Linked DNA regions of Drosophila melanogaster. The protein of the gene in region 3 interacts with the protein of the main gene of each other region in a pairwise test. Each region holds a gene or a part of one and is shown on either strand. Other genes may lie near its edges.

Region 1 (5,298 bases), on a different chromosome or scaffold from region 3:
CAGCCCACAAAAGCAGATAACAACAAACAGTCATACTCATACGCTCACAGACGTAGATGACCAAAATCTAAACCAGTTTGCTTATTTAATTTCAATGCTTAGTTTTGAAGTCACATTGATTGGAGGAGTGTGATTACCTCTATGAGTGTGCGAGCTGCCAGCCCCAAAAGCGGAGTGCCAGCAAACAATCCAATATACATCGCGGATTGACGTAATTTAGTTACATTTCCGAATCGAAACAAAAATGGTATCAAATCGCTTGAGAGATCCTGGAGAGCAGCGCGTTCTTTCGGGCACAGAATTTCACAGTTGGCATCTTCGAACTTCATCTTTGACTAACTTGGCTGGAGCCCCACCCTGGCGAATAATTGGCACTCGCCTCGAATTTAAATGATTCTGGCATTCCTTGAATGCACTGACAGAAACTCTGGCATCTCATGGGCTTGAAAGTACGAGAACCTCCCATTGAAGAATCTATTGATTTCTCAAATCAGCATATCGTTTTCTCTGCGTGTATCTTCCCAAAAGGAGCGGTTTAACCACCCCGCAGCTCATGACTAAAATTTAAACAGCTCCATAATAGTCGGCCGTAATAATTAATTGTTTGCTAATAAATATGAGTTTATATATGTATATAGGAAGAGCTCAAATAATAAAAAATAATAAGCGCACGCGCCGCGTCTCCAATGACTAAGTCTCCTTTCAGTCTTCGAGTACGCGATAAATGCGAATGTACATATATACGTATGTATCTAGATACGTAGTTCGAGTGTACGAGGTACACATACGAGTGCCGAGTATAAGTATAAATTGTAAATCAGATACGGCATAAATATTGAACACATGGCGCAGTAGTTTATACACCCAAGAGTTGTGGGTGTTCGATGGCTGCAGGGGGGGTGGGGGTGGGGTAGTTGAGGGGCACGGAAGGAACTGAACAAAATTGAAATAAAATAAAGCACCATAAAACGTACTTAAGATTGACGATTGTGTTTTTTGGGGGAGCGATCAATGAAAGAGTTTCGATGAAGACAATATATGGCAAGTACAGTTGAGCTCTTTTTTGGATTTGGGCATTCGTGTTGTCTGCAAAGGGTTATTGATAATTCTATGCTCTTCCCAATTTAGTTAATATTCTTTTATTACTAAATTATGAGGGAATTTTTGTGTCTGATTTCGAGACGGGGGAACAATCGAAGGAGCCAGAAAGCGACCGAAGAACGCGTTGAGTAAATGCACATTCTGGAATATTTATATAGTACATTTGAATATATATGTACTTGATTAGATATAATTGGCTGTCAGTATGTCTCTTGATCGCTCCACTCAATCGCACCAATACTCGGATTCGGATACCGAGCAACCGCACAGATACATTTTCGAAACAAACAAAATGTCGGCAGCTGCTTGTTGTGTTAGCTTATAAATTAAAACGCGTTTCATGGCATTATTATTTGATGGTTTTTTACTTTTTTTTTTTTCGTCTTATGGCTGCTCAATTCATTCGATTGTTCGTATATTCACATTCTTTTTAGCCCATTCGTACCCATATACCCCCGATATCGCTCACACCTCCTTCCCCCCCTTCTCCGCTCGGTTCATCTGTCCGCCTGTCTGCTAATTGAAAATCAATTAATGTGACTGCATCCTATAGCTGCTCATGTCAAAGTCAGATATCATCCAGGGTAGGGTAAATTCGATGGAATAAGGGAATGAAAACAAGAGAAGGAATTCAAGACTCAACGACTCAGATTCAGAATCCGAATCAGAATCCTTTTGTTTTCACTGACCTTACTGTCTGAAAACAAAAACCCAATTGATGTGCCCCAAGTAACACTCTGATAATTACCGAAAAACTCCAAATTTTTCGATTGCTTTCGACTTTGGCAGTATTCATCGCCAAGTTCATTGGGTTTTCGAGTGCGTCCCGCGAATCGCTTTCGTTTGGTGCGGAATTTGGCACAAGTTTTGTATGCTCAACTACTGGGAAGGCCAATCTGGGGCTTCTAATTCCACTGTGCGGGTAATTTGGGGACTCTTGCCAGTTACTAGTTACCTCCCAATACGAATCACTGATTTCTCACCTCCTGCCACTCGCTTCTTGCTTCCGTTGCAGGTCAACAAACAGTATTCGGCCACCGATCTGGAGGCTTTTATGAAGATTGCCGCCAACTGGCAAAATTCCAATCACAACTTGCTGGAGGGCGTCGACATAAAGACGGGTAAGTTAAACAAAACGAAGTGACCGTTGAAGGAACTTAATTCAATCATCGAATGCTTGCAGAAATGACACAGTACATGAACAGTCCTTCCATGAACATGTACAAGAAGAGGGAACGCACCCAGAACTGGAACCACCAGGAGAAGAAATACCTACTCGATCTGTGTCGCAAGGACATGCGCATTATCGAGAACAAGAGATTGGATGCCGGTCTGACCGCCGTGAAGAACAAGGCATGGAAGATTATCCACCAGAAGTTCTCCAATCAGTTTGGCACCGATCGCACCTGCAATCGCCTGAAGGAACAGTGGCGTCGCATGAAGGGTAAGTCTTTATAAAATACATATATTTAATGGCAAAGCTAACCTTTTCGATCTCATCCTTTAGCATGTACTCGCAACGAGATCCTGGACTACAATAATCGCCTGGCCAGGTTTGGAGCAGAGGTGGCCGATCGCAAGAAGCCATCTCCGTTCACCTTCGAGGTGTGGGATTTCATGCAGGAGGCGAAGAAGGCATGCAAATCGGAGGCCCTGGATGGCATTGATTACTCTAAGATTCCACTGGCCTTGGAGGAGGGTTTTGAGTATCGTGAGGATTACAAATTCAATCCCGAAGACCACGACATGGATGAGTAAGTTGATCGCTATGTGGTAGTCTGAATAGATCTTTATTGAGCATTCTCTATTTGAGCAGCAGCCGCACACCGCCGCAGGAACTGTGCGATGTGGACATCAAGGAGGAGGAGAACAACGAGACCTTCAACGAGACCTTCAACCATCACCACCTCAACCAGAGCGACATCCTTGGCAGCGGCGAGCGTCTCAGTGTGTCGCCTAATCACAGCATCAGTCGCAACGGGATCCACGAGGCCGAGAGTCCCGCCACGATTTCCACATCTAATGTCCTGGACTCGAGCGGTGCCTATATGGCCGGAGGAGGTGACATGTCCGGCTTCCAGGCCAACTTCAACATGAACAACATATCCGCCACGCTGGAGGCACTGAATGCCCTCCGTTCTGGCCAATTTCCCAGTGCAGCAGCAGCGGCAGCGGCCGCCATTCACCAGCACCAGGCACAGGCCCAGGTCGCCATGCATCACCAGCACAATAACAACAACAACAATAACAACAACAACGAGGACGACGAGGACAGCATGAAGCCGCAGTCTAAGAGACAGCGCACCAGCAGTGGTAGCATGTTGGGCAGCGAGGATCAGGCACCAGTCCTGGCCCCATCAGTGCCAGCATCCTCGGACTCGCAGGCCCTAGAGCGGTCCGGCAGCAGCAATGGATTGACCATGCCGGGAACGGCAGTCAGCACCAATGCCAACAGCAGCAGCAGCAACAACAACAACTTTGAGCTGCGCATGTTCATGGAGATGCAGAGCAAGGAGCACATGATGCGCATGAAGATCCTGGAGGTGCAGTTGCAGGCGGCAAAGCACAGTCGCGACCTAGTGGAGATCAACAAGACACTGGCGCTGCAGAAGCTGCAGTTGGAGCTGGCCAGCAAGCGACTGCCCAGTTAGGAGGCAGTGCAGCAGCAAAAGGAGCAGCAGCAGCAACAGCAGCAGCAGCCCATCGCCGTTTCATGTTACATTAGTTTATAGAAATAAAGCCTGTCAACTCGGTCACGTTCGCAGGCAGAGAGCGTGATTGGGAATCGACTAGAGTTAGCACTAGAGTTAGTCTTAAGTTGAAAGCAGGATCCACAGCTACACATCCAGACCCGACACACAGAGAGACATTCCTGGCATTGTTGATCAGTATTTGAAAGCTAGAAGCGAAACCCGACACACAGAACCGAACCCAAGAACCCCAGCGAGGATCAGGAGGCGCTCGGAAGTATGCCATAATCTTATGATGATGATGACGATGATGATGATGAATCGCCTACCTCACAAGCACACACACACACACACACACAATATGCACACACTCAGCTAGCAGACACACACACACAGACACACTCTCTTCTGGCCTAACCAGCACTTGACCAAGTCAAGTCAAGTTTAGTTAGTTTCTAGTTTTAGTTCGTATGGGAACCACTCTCTCCAAGTTGCTCAACTACCACAAATGTATTGTACTTACGTTCTTGACCTCTGCTACCCCACAACTAACGATTTGAACGAACATGAAATGCACACAAGATTATTTTTCATAGTCCTAAGAGAAGAACCTTATATATGTCAATGCATCATACACAATCGGCAGTTGTCTCTGATTTTGATTCTTACTTGAACTTGTATTTATTTGTATCTTTGTATAGACTATGTTGATATATATATGACCCTATATATGTTTGTTTCAATGCCATATTACATGAAAGTTCTTTTTAATTCATATTTTCCGTTTGCGCTGCAAAACAAATTGTTACCATATATAATATATGATATGTATGTACCCTACGTATAAGCAGGCTTGAAGAAGGCCGCCAACTCGGCTTCAGTTGTCGTAGAAGACTTCTTTGTAAAGCGTGTAAATGAGAGATACAAATTATTTTAAATAAAATACAAAACAAAACAAGCAAATGTTTCAGCTACACTTTATTAATTTTGTTCATGGTTCATCTGTGAGCCTTCGGTCTTGGTTTTTTCCAACGATTGTATCTGCTTATCCACCTTGATGATCTTTGTTGTGACTTCGTTCTTCTGGCTGAGAATCTTTTCTCGCAACGACTTCAGCTGTTCCCGTTGCTGGGTAAATTTGCAATTAAATTTAAATAGATTACTTTCGTTTTTTGAGATCACAAACCAACCAGTTTAAGGAAATGTATGTTCTCCTCCGCCCTGGCTTTTTCGAACAAATGCTTGGATATGTTCCTGGATACAGAGATGCATCTAATAAGCGAAGCCATAAGTGCTCAGAACACGGAACTCACTTGTTGGATTGTGAAAACTGACACATCCTGGGTCGCAACAGTTGGAAAAGCTTTTCGACCAACTTCAGCATTGTATCCTTACGGAGGAAGATAATTTGGAATTTACTATAGTAACTGATGAGGTATTTCAAGGTGGAATATTGACAAACTTAAAAGTGATAGCCTACCGTTTGATAGGTCATTTTTCGAGACTC
Region 2 (7,562 bases), about 11 Mb from region 3:
AAAAGCGATGGCCGGCCAAAATGGCAGCGAGGGACCATCCCGAACTGAACTGCTTTGCTCTGATTTTGCAAGTGCTACGTTTTGAGTATGCTTTTTATTTGACCGCATATTGCTTTGCATTCGTTGTTAAAATTATTTTCATTTACTAAGCATAAGCCAAACCGTTGACATGGGAAAAGATAATCAGATAAGTGTCATTTATGCCCCTTTGCAGGCTAACAAACTCAAGGACAACACACCACCGTACGATGCACCGCCGCCCACGCCGATCAGCAAGGTCCTGAACATCACCGGCACCCCGATCGTTCGCAAGGAGAAGCGCCAGACCAGCGCCCGGTACAATGCCTCCAAGAACTGCGAACTGACGGCCCTCATTCCGCTAAACGAGAGTGAGTAGCCTTGGAGTAGATCCTACTACTTAGTATATTACTTTATAATACATGTACTGCCAGCTGTTCAGATCGATATCTCTTAAGCCTGCAGATCGGTTGCATGGGGTAGAACTTGGTCGTAGCCATGTCGTAGCATACATTTTAGGGCAGGGTTCCGTTTAGGCGATATAAAATTACCTTTCTTACTGTCTACCAACATCGTCAATTAAGTTTTTATGCAACTATACACTCAAAACAGATTGTATAAATCGTAGTAATTCCCATTAACGATGCATAATTACATATATTATGTCAATTAACTCCGGTAAATTTCCATGATTATAAGTTCAGCTTTAACTTACAAGAGGCATTCTCTGTAAAGTGTACCTACGACCTGCAAGCTTGTTGGGAATATTGATTGGCCGGCGCTTGATTAATTTCGCTCAGCTGTTGTAATTTGTTTATTATTTGTTAAAGTTAAAGGTCAAGGGAGTGTCGTCTGATTAGGTGGGTGGCAACACTGACGCACGGCCACTCACACATGTGAACCAAGCAGCCGCATCAATTCACACCTCTCTCCACCTCTCTCACTCACCGGAATTTCAACACATGCGCTCTCTCCGCAGCCTCTCATTACACTGGGAGAAAGCATCGTTAGAGGATTTCTCAGACCGTCTTAAATTTCATATATACACCGGCATTTCTTTATGACACAAATGTATTCGATTGATTTAAACTTGTGTATACAAATAATTAGAAAAACTGTATCCTGCAGGGAATTAATTTAAAAAAAAGCAAATTCAATATTTTTGAAAATCATATATGTACATATCTGCGCGTAATGATTATGAAATTGCTACACTTTTTTTTTCTGTGCAGCATGAATGTCATCGCATTGCGTTATTCACATACCTTTCTGCTAATTGCTTGGGCGGTTTCGACTCACAAATCGAATAAACAAATTTCGCTTGTTCAATACTATTTTATTTTATTAGGTTTTATTGTTATTGTGGCTCGCTCGCCCACCAGCCCACTTTCTCTCTCTTTATTTTCTCTCTGTCTGCTGCTCACCAAATTTCTCTCCATTTCATTCTCTCTCGATATCGATTTTTCCGATTGGCGCAGCAGTCGAAGCAACAAAAAAAAAACCGTTTCAAGACCGTGAACGTCGTGTGCCCCGAAAACTTTAATATTAGTTGAAAATATTCGTTTCCCAAGTTAATTGCTCTCCTATCCTATTCCCTCATTTGTTCCCATTCGAACCGTAAGTTTTTCCACGTAATTATGGCCATTTGTGAGGCAAAAGAAGAATTTTAGCAGAGGCGTTGTCATTTCCATTTTCATTTCCAATTGCATTTCATTTCGTTTTGTGTTACCATCAGCGCATAATCGCATTTGGCGTTAATCTAAACCATTATCTATATTGCAATTCCATTACAGATTCTATAGTTTCATACTTAGCGTGCCCAAATTGAGTTTCTAGTGTAGTCTTTCTCATGTGTTGTTGTTGGTCGGCGGGGGCGGCTGGTAAAAAAAACAAGCGTTCCGTATCAAGATTAAAACCGAGTGCCATTTGCTCCAAGTGCCGGCACTAATGAGATGGTCTTCGGTGCTATGTTGCTGACGGGCAACGGGCTCAAAGGTCCCAAACAGCAGCAACAGCAACATCAGCAGGAGCCGCAGCAGCAGCAGCAGCAATCGCAACAGCAGCAGCAAGAGCAAAAGAAACCGGCGCCCATTAAATCCTCCAGCAAGGAGCAGGAAACGCAGCCCATTGCAGCCGGGTATTATGCCCTCGGCATACGCATACCCAAATCTCCATCGTTTCACAGCGGCCTAGATCAGCTGGCCGACGACGAGTTGGACGATCAGGTGCAGGATCAGCAGCAGGAGCAGCAACAGACCGGCAGCCGATTCAGGTTTAGCAGCGTGGAGGAGCTAAAGGCCAAGTTCGAGGGGCGGAAAACGCCCCTCTCACCGCCAGAGGCAGCAGCAGGAGGAGCAGCCGGATCCGGAGCACCCACCACATCCTCCTCACCATCGTCCTCGTCCACCAGCTCCAATTCGTCGGCCTCGGCCCTGTCCTCGCTTTCACAGGCGGCCTCATCCTCGCTAGCCTCGGCGGCTGCTAACTCCTCGGCCTCATCCTCGGCCGCCACATACGGTGGTGGAGCGAATTCGGCTGCAGCTGCACTGATTGCCTCCTCGCCATTTGGATCGCAGTCCTCCACTTCTTCGCTCTCGCTATCCTCGAATGCCGGCATGTCGAAGAACGCGGCAGGAGCAGGATCTGGATCTGGATCTGGAACAACGTCAACGGGCGCTGCTAGCGGCAGCAATTCACTTGTGTCCACTTTGGCACAACATTTCTCGGCGGCCACATCCGCCGCAGCATCGGCGGCAGCCGCTGCGGCATCCTCTGCCTCGGCGGCGTCCTCCTCGTCAGCTTCCTCCTCATCCACCGCCACCAACAACGCAGCCAGCAGCTCCATCGCCGCCAGCAAGGTTTGCAGCTTGGTCTTGTCCACATACACACACACCCAGCGATCTGAAAACCCAAAACATAACCACATCACCACCTCCAAGTACAAACCACAAATTTTACACTTTCTTCCAAACTTTCACTAATTGTGTTAGCTTTTTGGATAACGATAACTAAGTTTCAAAGAAAAAAATAACAATTCAAGTACCTTGTTAATCAAAGTTTTATTTACATTGTACGCTAGAAGCTAATACATTTAGTAGCATCTCACACACTATCCACCAACACTAACTCCATCCCAATTGAACAAACCGAAATTTGATAAACCAAAACCATACTCTGCTCTCATTTCATCGCTTCCTCATCATCCAGTCACCTGTGAGCGCGGCCGCGGCCATAAAGAACATACTGAATGCCACCAAGAGTGTGGGTACTAGTGCTGCGGCGGCGGCAGCAGCGGCGGCCACCTCCTCCTCATCATCCCCATCCTCTGCGGCGGCTGTGCCGTCGTCCGCCGCCACCGCCGTCGCCGCTGTTCCCACCACCAGCGATGTGCCCGCAGAGGAGATGCGTCCGACGGTGGCCCAGAATCTGGTGGGCGGCATTAGCATCTCATTGGGAATTGGCCAGCGCAATGGCGGCGCAGCACCTGCGTCATCAGCAGTAATGGTGACACCTAACGCCACCATGGTGGTGACCACATCGAGCCTAAGCATCCGGCAGAACGGTGACATACTGCCGGGTCATCCGGCGGGTCTTCAGCCCTCGCCCCAGACGCTCCAACAGCTGACGGGCAGTCCGGGAAGGGCTCGCGACCGGAATCTATTCTACACGCCACCCACCGCTTCGGTTGCCATGGCGCTGCCTGCACTGCGAGGTTGCTATCCCGAATGGATCCGGGCCAATGGCGATGGATGGAGCCATTCCAGCCATTGCCCTTGGGCCTGAGGTCCTCCGGCTACTTGATCCTTTCTTCCGATCTTCATTATGTTCGTTTTGAGTTTCGCTTGCCTGCTTTTGGTTGGTCGTTTTTGTAGTTGTAGGTTTTTTTTTTTTAATTTTATATTAAGGTCAATTTTATATGGCTTACATTTTGTTTGATATATCTATCACTTATATTATATATTTAAAAAAATTAATGATGATTTCATTTGTATTTCCATAGAGACCGCCGCCAGTGAACGTGAGGAGCTGTTCATACAGAAGATCCAGCAATGCTGCACACTGTTCGACTTCTCCGAGCCGCTCAGCGACCTCAAGTTCAAGGAGGTGAAGCGGGCGGCTCTGCACGAAATGGTCGATTTCCTCACCAACCAAAATGGCGTAATAACCGAAGTTATTTACCCGGAGGCGATCAATATGGTAAGCTACTAATTTACATATTTAAAATAATATCACATGCTTTTACCACAACATACTTATCTGTTCTCATCAGTTTGCTGTCAACCTTTTCCGAACTCTGCCGCCATCGTCCAACCCGAATGGTGCCGAATTCGATCCGGAGGAGGATGAGCCCACGTTGGAGTCCTCGTGGCCGCATCTGCAACTCGTTTACGAGCTGTTCTTGCGCTTCTTGGAGTCACCAGATTTTCAACCAAGCATGGCAAAACGTTTTATCGACCATCAATTTGTATTACAACTATTGGATTTATTCGATTCGGAGGATCCACGTGAACGTGATTTCCTGAAGACTGTTTTACATCGCATCTATGGAAAATTTTTGGGCTTGAGAGCATTTATTAGAAAGCAGATCAACAATGTCTTTTACAGGTGAGCTCGTCATTGGAATATCTATAAGGTTAATGCCTCACATTACTAATCGCATTCCACATTTAGATTTATTTATGAAACGGAGCATCATAATGGCATAGCCGAATTGTTGGAAATCCTGGGTAGCATTATCAATGGCTTTGCTCTGCCGCTTAAGGAGGAGCATAAACAATTTTTACTTAAGGTATTGCTGCCATTGCACAAAGCCAAGAGCCTCTCGGTCTACCATCCGCAGCTCACCTATTGTGTGGTGCAGTTCCTGGAGAAGGATCCTAGCTTATCGGAGGCGGTCATCAAGTGAGTAAAGAATTCCTTATTTTGCGCATTTTCTAATTAGCCTATCGCTGCCATATTTCAATATTCTTGCAGAAGCCTACTTAAATTTTGGCCCAAGACGCACAGTCCCAAGGAGGTTATGTTTTTGAACGAGCTGGAGGAGCTGTTGGACGTAATTGAGCCGGCCGAGTTCCAGAAGGTGATGGTGCCGCTGTTCCGCCAAATAGCCAAGTGCGTCTCTTCGCCTCATTTCCAGGTGGCCGAACGTGCGTTGTACTATTGGAACAACGAGTACATTATGTCGCTGATAACGGATAACTCGGCGGTGATATTACCCATTATGTTCCCAGCGCTCAATCGCAACTCAAAGACGCACTGGAACAAGACCATCCATGGTCTGATCTACAATGCACTCAAGCTGTTCATGGAGATAGATCAGCGGCTTTTTGACGAGTGCAGCAAGAACTACAAGCAAGAGAAGCAGATGTATGTGTTAACTTTAGTTGATAATTAACTTCCATGGGACGATGCACTCACGTTTTATTACTTTGTACTAAACATTGGCGTTTTTTTTTTTTTTTTGCATTGCAGGGAGCGTGAGAAGCTGTCGCAAAGGGAGGAGCTCTGGCAACAGGTGGAGAGCTTGGCCAAGACCAACCCGGAGTGGACAAAGGCGCGCCGGTTTAACGACTGCCTGCCGGTCAGCGACAGCCGGGCCCTGTGCGATCAATATAGTGAGAACAGCGATTCAGCGTATGATCAGAGCGAGCAGAGGGCGCGCCAGCCGCCGCCTCCGCTGCCGCCACAGAAACAGGCGCACCAGGAGCCCCGAGAGGTGAGACAGGCACTTGCCACATTAACAACACTAAACAACTACTAATCCGCCACGTGTGATCCTGGCGTCGCTGTGAGCTGTGCCCAGCTAAGGCCCACTCTGTTTCAACTCTAATTCTAATCGAACGAATGTCTGTTAAAATAATCACACTCATGTCATTTAAAAAAAAAAAAATACATATTTGTATATCTTTAACTTTGTCTATTTATTTATTAATTATTTGGTAACCTCACTGTCTGCCAAACCAAACGCATCCATGCAAATTCATCCACGACACAACAACTTTTCTCCTGCACTTTTGGTTAACCGCATACGAATTGGGCGGAATTAATATGTAGTTTATCTTACTTAGATGTTAATTACACTTTGGTCCATCTTTTAACTCATTTGTGGTCATTTTAATGAGAGAACGCGTTCCTTTTGTAACATCAATATGATTCTCATTTATTAATTTGAACACTTAACATAATTTTCCTCAAGTGAATCACCATTTTTAAGCATGAATCCCAGTTAGAGTAAAATCTGTGCACATAACTATTAAAAACTAGTGTCAAATGTATCATGTTGTTAACAACTCAGAACCAGAAACCATACAACACTCCTCGATCTCAGACCTTTGTAACACAATTCGACATTCGGGTGTAGATGTATATATATATCGTAGTCGTGTGTTGTCCAACTGGTGGTCATCGAGTTTCCATCCAGCACCACAGCACTCGATATCGTAACGCAATCATCCCGCACCACCGTGTAACTTCACCCGCCCAGTGTGTGTGTGTGTGTGTGCTGCGATGCCTTAGTGTCAGAAGCGGGTCCATTTTCTATTGCCAAACCCCCCTTCCCGTTCCACACAGATTCGTGGCGAACGGAACAAGGACAAGCCGCTGCTGCGCCGGAAATCGGACCTGCCATCGGACAGTGGAACCGTGAAGGCGCTAAACGAGCACAAGCGGACGGATGAGTACCTCACAACGCCGCCGCCGGATGGAAACTACTAGGAGAGAGCTGGCCAGCCGACGCCACCAATATTCGTAGCTCCAATGAGGAGGATAGTCAAACCACAGAACTTACCCAAATAGACCTACACACTCCAGACTAAGGCCAGAAAGCATACATATATAGAAGCACAAGTCCAAGTCCAGAGATGAAGGATAGAATCCGCACAACTAGAGAACAAACAATTTTGAACGATGCATTTGCATTTGGGGGCTTAGAGTGGGGGCGTGGCAACGGATGCAAGCCAATTGCTATATATATATACACATACAAAATACCTATCTTTAGTGATCATGCATAGTACCAATAAAGATCAAGAATCCCCAACGAGATCGATTGTCTAGCTCCAATTTCGTTTGCATATGCATTTCAAGATTACCCTTTTGCTCCAACGCATGCCACAGTGAAGCTTAGCCCTGAATGACCTTCTTATATATATTCTTATTTCTTATATCTTTTACCCAATGCATGTTGCTGCTAGCGTTGCTTTAGCTATAGCCCTATCAATTAGATCTAATTGTGCAATAATCTGGTATCACAACTATGCTCTTACCATTTCAGTAAACGCGTGAATATAATTGTACAGTTGAATTTGAATTGTCTAACTTAAGGCGTAGGCGTTTACCACCTTGATTGAGTACATATATATCCCCCGATTTCTGCCACATGCATACATAGATAGCTATATGACATCCAGACATTCATGCCACATGCCACTATTATACACACATACTATATAAAACATGTTTACTACTCCACGACTCAAATTTGCAAATATTGTACGCTATTTAGCCTAGCAGTTAGAGCAGCATACCCATAATATATTTATATG
Region 3 (4,990 bases):
AATCATACTAACATTAATTTTAACCTCTCTTGCTATTCAAATATAAAGCCCCAAATAGTAATAAAATTCAGTAATTGTGTATGGAAAAGAAAAAAAAATTTGTTTAAATAAACAGTTTAATGTTTGGAAAAGTAAATTTAAAATTAGTTATAAATATGTTACATTGTATTATAAAAGTTACCATAAGTGCGTTACATAAGTTACAAAGTTTTTCTTTGTGTTTTTTCTATGTCCAGATTTAATTCAAAAATTCCAACTTCGCGTTACGCGCTGTTTTCTTTAACTAAAAACAAAATACAAACGCTGCTGATTGTTTCATATTAAAAATTGAGCGTGTGTGTGCGAGGGGCAACATTTACAATCGGAGGCAACATGCAAGCGATGATGAAAAATCGCCTGCAACATGTTGGATGCTGCTGGGGACCCTCCATGGATCTAGAATGGAATGGGATCCGAGAGGATGCTATGCTATGCTATGGATTGGGATACGAGAGTCTGGCGCTGGCTGCCCGCTGGCATCGCCAACATCAACTCCAATTACAGAAGTACACGCAGGCGTCTCTCTTATGATTTTTTTTTTTTAGTTTTTCATTTATTTTCCATCATTTGTTTTTTTCTATACTTTTATATGGTTTGTGGATGATGCGGGCCAACCATAAAGAGCTGACATGTGTGTTTCAAAAACACAGCGGAAAACATATGGCAAAAAATACGACTTCTATAAGAAGAACAAATCGAATTGGTACATAAACTTAAGCTATAAATTCCGAAATACGTACTTACAAAATTTATTTATATTTTAATAAACATATTTTCGAAAGAATTGCTGATTTCGCGTTTCGGGTTTCGAAAGTAACCGTTCAGTACCACTTAAAAAAACACTTTTATTACAAGTTCGTATCAAATAAACGTATTAAGTTTATACGTTTTTAAATAAGATAATTTTTAAGACACTCACTATAAATACTTATTAAAACAAACTTTTGCTTTTGCAATATATTACGAATGACCTATGCCATTTATCTGTATTTGGTATATGTTTGTGGTTTCGCAACATAAACGTTAGATTCCAAAAATAAAAATAAAAAAAATAATCTCATTCAAAATCGATTTTGGGTGTGTCTTAACCAGCAACTCATTTTTATGATAAAAAATAGCTAATCAACATTTAAATCTCCGAGACAAACTAATCAATTGAATTCAAATTCAAATGACGCCAAAATCAAACCATATGTGTGTTCAGCTCTGAATGCGATGCTGGATTGTTGGTAGCAAATATGAAATCGACTTTTAATTAAGGCATTTAGCCAAACAAATCAAAATCGTTAAGCCCCGATGCTGAATGAATCATGAGAACTTGAACTTGGCTACGGCCCAAAGAGAACCCGATCCGCAGCCCCGAAACAGACCGATAAATTTAAATTCAGAGACAACTGCCAACGAGCTCGTTTTAAAGGAGGAATAACTTAAGCTTCAGCAGGAGACTTTGCATTTTGCCAGGCCAATAAAAATGGAAATGAACGCGGAGCGGAACGTTTATAAAATAATAATGCGAAATAATAATGTGGCGGTGATTTAGCGGAACAGTGCCACGATTGAATACAAATAAAGTGGGGGAGACGCCTAATCTAGGATGATTTCGGCCTAATCTGGAGCGTGAACCGGGGGCAGATGTGTCCTGGAGTGGCTGCCAACTACCTGTTTTTTCTCGCTTTTCTCGTATTTCTCGCTTTTCTCGAGAGCGCGCTTTTCCCCAAATCGAGGGAAAAGCTGGAGCGCCATAGGCCGGTTGCCGTGGCACCCTCGTCGCATAAATCAAGACTGGGGGCGGAGTCTGCCGTGGGTGCAAGTGGGACAGCAGGATTTTCGAAAATGCGCACTGTCCGTCCTCTCTCTCGCACTCGTTGGCCGGGTCCTCAAATGATTTACAGTGTTCGAAACGCACACAAGGCAACGCACGAGAGGGTCGTTTTGTCGGTTTTTATGGCTCAAACGTGAATTGAACGTGGCGCACTTCAGTCGCCAAGCAGCGCGCTCGGTCTTCTGCAAACATAAAAAGATACAGATACACGTTCTCGTATTCGTACGCGTAGCAATCCGCGAAGTTTCCGCTTGAAAGCCAGTCTTGCGATTCCATGGAAAGCTCTTTGGCGACGGCAAGGTGCCATGGTCTCCCCATAGCGGATACTTTACCGACTAACTCCTTTACATAGGAGCGGAATTACCTACCCACCTCAAATAATTTCTCAAACTGCTCATCTTCGCAAATAACTAAGATAGCAAAGTGCAGTGCAAAAGGCAAATACAATTAATACGAAAATAAAAAGTATACAGTGAAGTGCTGGCTAAGAAAACTAATTGAATTACAACGACTTGTTCGTAGCGTCTGATTGGATTTCCCCAAATCGTCCACATAAAGGTAAGAAAATAACAAACGTAGAAAAACTAAACTCTGAATGTAAGAAGAAAATTTAAGAAAGTTTTGCCCTTAAAGGTTTAAATGAAACCATCGATATATCGTTAAATGGTTCCTTTTAACCTTTCTAAACTTTTCCACTCAAATCATTCTGAATTAAAACTGCACTGTGGTGTGGAGGATTGAATATTTTAGAGTCAATTTAACAAACAATAAATATTGTAGAATACAAAAAAGGTGTCAATTGTAAAAAATCAATATAATATATATATATATATTTTTTATAAATATATATTATTTTAGCAAGTTCAGAAATCCAATTACTTTACTTCTTTGCAATACCTCCAAATGTTATATAAACTAACTGCACACTTAACTAAAAAAAAATATATGAACAACATTAAAAATATATATTAAATCTTCAGAGACAGATTTTACTTCTCCAAACTCCCAAAATGAGTCCCAGAGTCTTGATTTTATCCCAACTAGCCCAAAGTACGGAGTTCGAATGTTTATGATTTGGTCCCCCGAAATCGATCTCACACGGACAGTGTCGGTGAGAACAATAAGACTTTAGTCGCAGTTCGAAACATGATTTTCGAACTACCGAGTAACGATCTCTCTCAATAAGAACTTGTTCGAAACACGCGAGAGCGGTGCTTTTCGAACTACCGCTCTTTCGAACTCACACACACACACACCGATGTGTCGTATTCGTATCCGTGAGATACAATTTGTGGGAACGAATTTCTGGTTTGGCGGTTGATTCGAAACGTTCTTCGCGTCCGCAAAGGTAGTTTCAGCACATGCCTGAGAGCGAGCGAGATGGCGGAGCGGCGCAATGCCCGTTGTCTCTCTCGCACACTTTTCGAATAATGAACACTGCACTTGGACGACGATATGTAGCTGTATAGCCATATAGCCTTACTTGCTCGTACTCGCAGATACAATTGGACGGGGGAAATGGAGCAGTATGAGTGAGCCAGAGCGCTGGCGTATCTGTGTTTTTTATTGATGCTCAGAAATTTGAATTATGCCCGAGCAGTCAAAGTGAGACATTGGCGCTTCGAGCACGTATCCGCGGATACACCGGAATAACAGAAAAAAAAGCACAAATAAAAAAACTCAAACAATCCAACACTCAGCTGTTCCGCGTGTAAAGACCCTCGAATACTGTTCGATTTTAGCGAAAGATGGATGGACTGCAAAGTGCTTGCATCGATGCTGGCGCTGATGGACAGTCATAAATTCGGCGTGAAATTCGCGCAGATACTTAGATACTCCGTCATAGCGCATATACTTATCGTGATCTGTAACAAATTGCGCGTGTGCTTGTGTGTTTGTGATACCAAAAGCCGTCCAAATCCGTCGCTTAGCCCTTTGCGGCCAATTACCCATTAGAACCATCCAAAACATAAGCCTGCAGGTAGGACGCAAAAGTCTAGCCAGTTTGCCCTCAGGATGCCATCGGATTAATTTCCCAGATATCCGGCTGGTTGTGACAATTCTACCTTCGTAATTGTGCACGTTGATTTCCGCACTCAGCACAAGTGAAAATCGTGGTTCAGTGCAGTGAAAATCAGAAAACAAACTCACTTGAACGGAGGTGAACGCCGTCGGCTAACTAAAATTGTGAGTAAACGAGTTTAACGGCTGAAAATATTTTAAGCGCTTTGGAACAGGTGAAAACAGTCATGGAAAGGATATTTATTCGTTGTCAGTTTTTGTTTTGTATTTTCTAGTGTTTTTTTTTTTGATGTGTTAAGAACTTATGTAGCAATATTTGGTCTAAAGCAATTTAATTATAGTTTTTTCTTAACAATTTGATGCGATTTTATTTATCAAATAATATTTACAATAAAAAAGTGCTTTGTTCGTATGTACATATTTTTTTAAGTAACAATATTTCTACCACCTTAAATTTTATTTTTAATCTTACAATCTTTATCTTGTACTTTGACTTTCTTATTGAAGAAATAATACCAACACTAGTAAGTTAAAAAAAAATAAGAAATTTTTAATTTCTTTAATAAATCAATTTAATATTCTTTGAAGAAATCATCAAAGGTGCGTAATAATTTCCCCTGTTTGCTTCTTAAGACACTCCATATCAAATAATATAATTTGAAAAAATCAATGAAATATATTTTGATACCTAGTAACCGAACCCAGAAAATACATTTTATATATTTCCCTATATCGGGGCTTTGTTTCTGTATTCTGTTTAAGCAATTTTTCATAAGGTTGCGTGTGCGGTATCAACGCAAGGAATTTTCACTTCATTAAAGCGAAATGCAGCCGCTTTTGAAATAATTAAGAGGCACAAAGGCGAAATGTCACAGCGAATGAAAAATGCCTAACAAGCGCCGCATATAGAAGGTTAATCCAGACACATAGCGTTATATACCGAGCCCAAGCTGGGATAGGGATGAAGAAATGCCCACGATATAGGCTTGGCTACTATCCGGGGAACTCGAACTCATGCTGGCCAAGACGCCATGGGGCGAACATGAAATTATGTAAAATAAAAGAAGACGCACTGGGCTGGAACTTCATGGGACTTTGCCAATGACC
Region 4 (4,602 bases), on a different chromosome or scaffold from region 3:
GCATTGCATCTATTCTATTTTGGGTGAACCTTTTCTTAACCGATTTGCTTCTGCCATTCGGATCATTATTCTGTTGGAATTTCCATTTTAAGGGCATATTATAATAAGAATATGACAGTAAGACATCCCTTAGTATATTTACACATGCGTTTTGGTCTATAATACCATAAATCATATGTTATGGACTCATACCATTGTAAAAAATAAACAAGCCCATACCAGTATTGCAGGTCCACCGTGATTGAAAGTCTTCAGTGGGTGTTTTGGGTGGTACTCGGTGTTTGGAGGTCGTCAGATATAACCATATGAACCAGTTCCACCAAATAGCACTATTTTTAACACATCAGTCCAGGGGATATTACGCCATTTGGAGACTGGCCAGTTTAGGTGGGTTTTAGCGAAGTTTAACCTTGGCTTAAAATGCCTTGGGCTAAGTAGGGGCACCTTTCGTGGACTCCTCGCAACTAAATTTTGATTCAGTAGTCGTCTCCGTAAATATGCATAGGAATCAAGGCAATGCTCGGTTACCGGTTGATAATTTTATAGAATAATGTATATAATGTTTTATAATGTAATGTATTATAATGTATCGAAAGTTACTATTTTATACGTTTGTCAATTTATGTGAAAAAGTACATGCAATATATAAACTTAAGGTAACCAGGGTCGGCACAAAGAAAAATATTGTAGATGCACTTATTAGACGTGATCTTGAGTATTAATGATACTAGTATTTAAATAGTATTCAATGCTGTCATCTTTTAGACTGTATAAAGGCACTTATTAAACCAAATTTGTACTTCATTCGGCTTTATACTTTCATATGTACATCAATGTTCTTACACAGCCTTACATTCACGCATTCACAAACATTGACACCTTGCCATGAAAACTAATAAAATCGCGGCATTTTGGCACATTTTCAGAGGAAAGAACGGCCGGAGTGTCGCTAATTCAATTGTTTTCGCAGCCAAAAAGAAAAGTGGAATGGGTTGATTTCAAGTGAAAATTGCCCCAAACCACTTTTCCACTTTTTCACTCTCCTACTCGCTCGCACAGCAATGCAACGAAACAAAAGAAGCGAGATCCACGAAGAAGCTGCAGAAAGGCGAACAAAAGTTGACAGCAGAGGGTATGAAGGAAGGTGAGCGAGAGGGAAGAGGCTAAAAGTGACGAGGGCGAAAAGCTCAGAGAGCAACAACTACTGTTTATTTTGAAAAGAAATAAAAACAGAGCAGGGACCGACACAGTTTGAGTGGCTGCGAGCAGGACGGCGCATGCGAGTGAGAGCATTTTTGTTAAACTGTCATAAATCTTAATTGTGATGGAATCGGATTCGGAATAGGACAAAAGAAGGGTGACGAAACGACAAAACAGATTTCACACACTTTCGGAGCAAGCGAGACGGAGCGGTCCCACAACGCTATCTCTTTCCCTAGCGATTTCCCCTGTTTCAGTTCCAAGCGTTCACTTGCCAGCACAGGGGAAAGTCTGCGCTCTTGTCGCTCTCTCTCTCTCTTCTCTCTCGCGCTCTCTTTTGGCTACCCATCGGTTTCGGGTTCTTTTCGCCAAGAGTCAGTCAGTCGACAAGAAACCGTTACTGCGTACGATCGTGCGAAAAAGCTCGGCGCACTTGGAAAAATCGTACGGTAATTAGTTAGCCGAGTGCCGGCGAGTGCGAGCGAGAGAGTAGCACATTTAATCACGCTGACAGCCAGCTTGTCCTGCAAGGGTGTGGGTGGCACACACGGCACACACAACACACACACAAGTGCGCAGCCGTCGCCAGAACGCAAAATCGAATCAGAAATTGCCGTCGCCAAAACGCGGGCTTCGTGTTTGCTCGTCAACAGCAGCGCAGCTTCCAATCGCTGCGCGTCCGTCGCGTCGCTTCATTTTTTCATCCGTATCAATCAGTGAAGGCAGAGCAGCAGCGCCCCGTTGTTGTTGTTTGTCAGCTTGACAGCGACGGCAGCGCAGCAGCAGCGCACCGGCAGAGCACCGCAGCAGAGGCTAGTGACGAAGGAACCCGGCCAGCGGGATTCAATCGCCTTTGGACTTTCGTTCGAGTAGTGACGACGAATCCGGATGAGAAGACGCACGCATCGCGACCCGCGGTTCCGCCAGAACAGTGAATTCTCAGTTTAAAACGCGTTTTTGGGGGAGGATAGAACGAGTGTTTTCCAGGCCGCCATCATATCTAGTCAAAGAAGCAGAGGTTTGATACTCTCGAACGCAAATGCTCGATCAAGACTGAAACATACGAGAAACATACAACTACAAATGGTTCAACAAAGTATACGTAAAACTACCACAAGCTAAACAAAATATACCACAAAAATATATTTATTACCAAAACTAAAGATAAACTATTGCAAATATTTACATTAAACGGTATTTAATTCACCAAAATTACACTACATACATAATGTAAAGCCAGTTACTTAAATCAACAAACCTTAACGAAGTATACGATTCAATGCAATTAATAAATTAAATTTAAATCAACACAAATTAGGAATTAAAAATACAAACGCCTCGAAACGTCATTTTTTGTCTGACATACGAAAGTTTATAAATTACAAAATCCAAAAAATATAAATTAATCAGTTATACGCTGCAACAACAACAAGTTATACTACAACGTACCAAGTGCAAAACAATAGATTATATGATCATTGTGTCAAACTAAAGTTAAGTTCCAAAATCCAACTAAAATCCTCGTTGTTTGCTCCAAAAAGAGCAAACCATCCAAGTTCCAGCAAACCGTCAAAATTCAGCAAAATTTAAAAATGTTACACGAGGCTCTGATGCTCGAGATCTACAGACAGGCGCTAAATGCCGGGTAAGTGTTATATGGAAGATTATTTCCATAGAACAGTGAAAGATGTAGAATTAAGAAAAAGATTCACATGGCCTTATTCGGGGGATTCAAAAATGTGACTACTCTGGGTATGAAGGATAAACGAACTGAGATTTTACTACCAAAGTGCATCAAAGTGTTTTTCATTATGAAATAGTGAAATATTGAATTCTTAACTAAAAGTGGCCATACTCAAAATATTCACATATAAAATAATTACATTCATCTCATTCAGTTAATATTATTTTTTTGCAATTGCTTTTTATGTGCGTTCAAGTATCTGGTTAAATAGAATATTATATATACCAAGTATATACGACATATATTGAATATAGAACGTTTTCAATCAAAATCAAAAACCATTGTCATTGTGAACTGATAGCCGAACTTGTTGAAATAGTATTGCAGACTCTCAACCACAAATCGGCCAAATAAATATATCAAGAAACTATGATTTCATGGCATTTGATGATTGGCATTGGCGGTTCGGCGTAGTCGCACACCTGTCGTTATAAATTCAGCGCCTCGCCAATAGCGCGCCCATATATCACAACACCCACCCGCAGAACCAAGAGTACTGAGTTCACGACTACGAGTCCAGACCCTCGGATCGGGAAAAGCAGAACTTGATTTGAAAAGGGTGGCTGGCAGGGGAAATCCGAAAATAACAGAAAAATCGCCATAGTTCGATGATGGGATACTAACTTGGGGTAAGCGTTTGTGTATCTGTATCTGGGTTTCTCTGAAATTATGATTAAACAAGTTCAAGATATTTTTCGAACTCGCTCTCGAACAGTCACTCGAGTGAGCCTGAGTCTGAGCAAATTAACTGAAGGCTAAAAACGGGTTTTATGACACTATATTTGCGGGGGCGAGGGTATTCGGGGGTGCATCTGGAGTATTAATAATAAAGTGCGACAAATTGTCTCGCTCTCGTTTGATTTGCATGCAGATACACACGAATTTTCAAGATTTTCCAAGGCGATGACGTAGTCGAATTGAATAAATCATGCGAAAAAGTGAAAAACTCAAAATACGCTACGCTCTGCTTGCCATCTTTTCCATTCTCCACCCCCTCCAATTTCCCCGTGTGCGCCTATTACCGGAGAGATTTATGTTCACAATTTGCCGCTGGCGTGTGCGTGTGCGTGTGGCTGTATCTCCGGGTGCATGTGTATGTTTAGTAATATTTACTCTGCTACCTTAACGGATTTGTCGTGCCTTAGATTTGCTTTAACAGGGACAGTGTGTTGTATTCGGCACAAATAGATATACTGTTATTAATAACCTTCATTTCGCAGTATATAGTAAAAATATACTAGGGAATAAACATTTTAAACAATAATTCTACTATAAAAAAATTCAGATCGGTCAACTCATATTTATTTATATTCTCACCTGAGGTCCAACCAACTCTCCCATATCACACCAATGGGTGTACTCCCACTATTTTAGTTAGCCTGAGCGTTACGGGTGCATATCAATATGCAACTCTCTCGATTATTAATGAGACATTTCAACTTGTAATTAACTGCACTTGCTGGAGTTGCGTATAAATCATTTTGATTTAAGCCTAATCGAATAACGAGATTTCAGATTATGATATGCTGGCGGAGAAAACTCGTTGCCAAGTATTTTATACTAGTCAAGCAAAATAATGGAGAAACGAGCCGCTAAATGGGTTGTTTGCGGGCTCAATCGCCCCTTGCAATCTGGATAGCTAATTAGCGGTGAGTGAT

What was found.
Region 1: the proteins of Scr (region 3) and apt interact in a protein complementation assay, tested with the Drosophila melanogaster proteins (one study listed by BioGRID).
Region 2: the proteins of Scr (region 3) and wrd interact in a two-hybrid assay, tested with the Drosophila melanogaster proteins (one study listed by BioGRID).
Region 4: the proteins of Scr (region 3) and tsh interact in a two-hybrid assay, tested with the Drosophila melanogaster proteins (2 studies listed by BioGRID, with this or other methods).

The regions. Positions count from the first base shown.
Region 1 is NT_033778.4:23,594,776-23,600,073, forward strand, and holds apt (apontic), read left to right. Parts: upstream 1-1,816; 5' UTR 1,817-1,972; coding exon 1,973-2,023; intron 2,024-2,116; coding exon 2,117-2,222; intron 2,223-2,284; coding exon 2,285-2,545; intron 2,546-2,608; coding exon 2,609-2,855; intron 2,856-2,917; coding exon 2,918-3,752; 3' UTR 3,753-4,751; downstream 4,752-5,298. Other genes in the region: CG42560 (uncharacterized protein), read right to left, coding at 4,773-4,919, 4,982-5,045, 5,105-5,175; CG42559 (uncharacterized protein), read right to left, coding at 5,283-5,298.
Region 2 is NT_033777.3:18,171,315-18,178,876, forward strand, and holds wrd (well-rounded), read left to right. Parts: upstream 1-1,529; 5' UTR 1,530-1,635; intron 1,636-1,811; 5' UTR 1,812-1,970; coding exon 1,971-2,876; intron 2,877-3,225; coding exon 3,226-3,730; intron 3,731-4,018; coding exon 4,019-4,215; intron 4,216-4,288; coding exon 4,289-4,623; intron 4,624-4,689; coding exon 4,690-4,920; intron 4,921-4,992; coding exon 4,993-5,385; intron 5,386-5,490; coding exon 5,491-5,734; coding exon of another isoform or gene 5,735-5,779; exon of another isoform or gene 5,780-5,927; intron 5,928-6,588; coding exon 6,589-6,732; 3' UTR 6,733-7,061; downstream 7,062-7,562.
Region 3 is NT_033777.3:6,846,974-6,851,963, reverse strand, and holds the start of Scr (Sex combs reduced), read left to right. Parts: upstream 1-1,982; 5' UTR 1,983-2,419; intron 2,420-3,458; exon of another isoform or gene 3,459-4,048; intron 4,049-4,990. UniProt on the Drosophila melanogaster protein: Sequence-specific transcription factor which is part of a developmental regulatory system that provides cells with specific positional identities on the anterior-posterior axis.
Region 4 is NT_033779.5:21,827,014-21,831,615, forward strand, and holds the start of tsh (teashirt), read left to right. Parts: upstream 1-1,579; 5' UTR 1,580-2,792; coding exon 2,793-2,845; intron 2,846-4,602. UniProt on the Drosophila melanogaster protein: Homeotic protein that acts downstream of Arm in the Wg cascade during embryogenesis to determine segment identity throughout the entire trunk.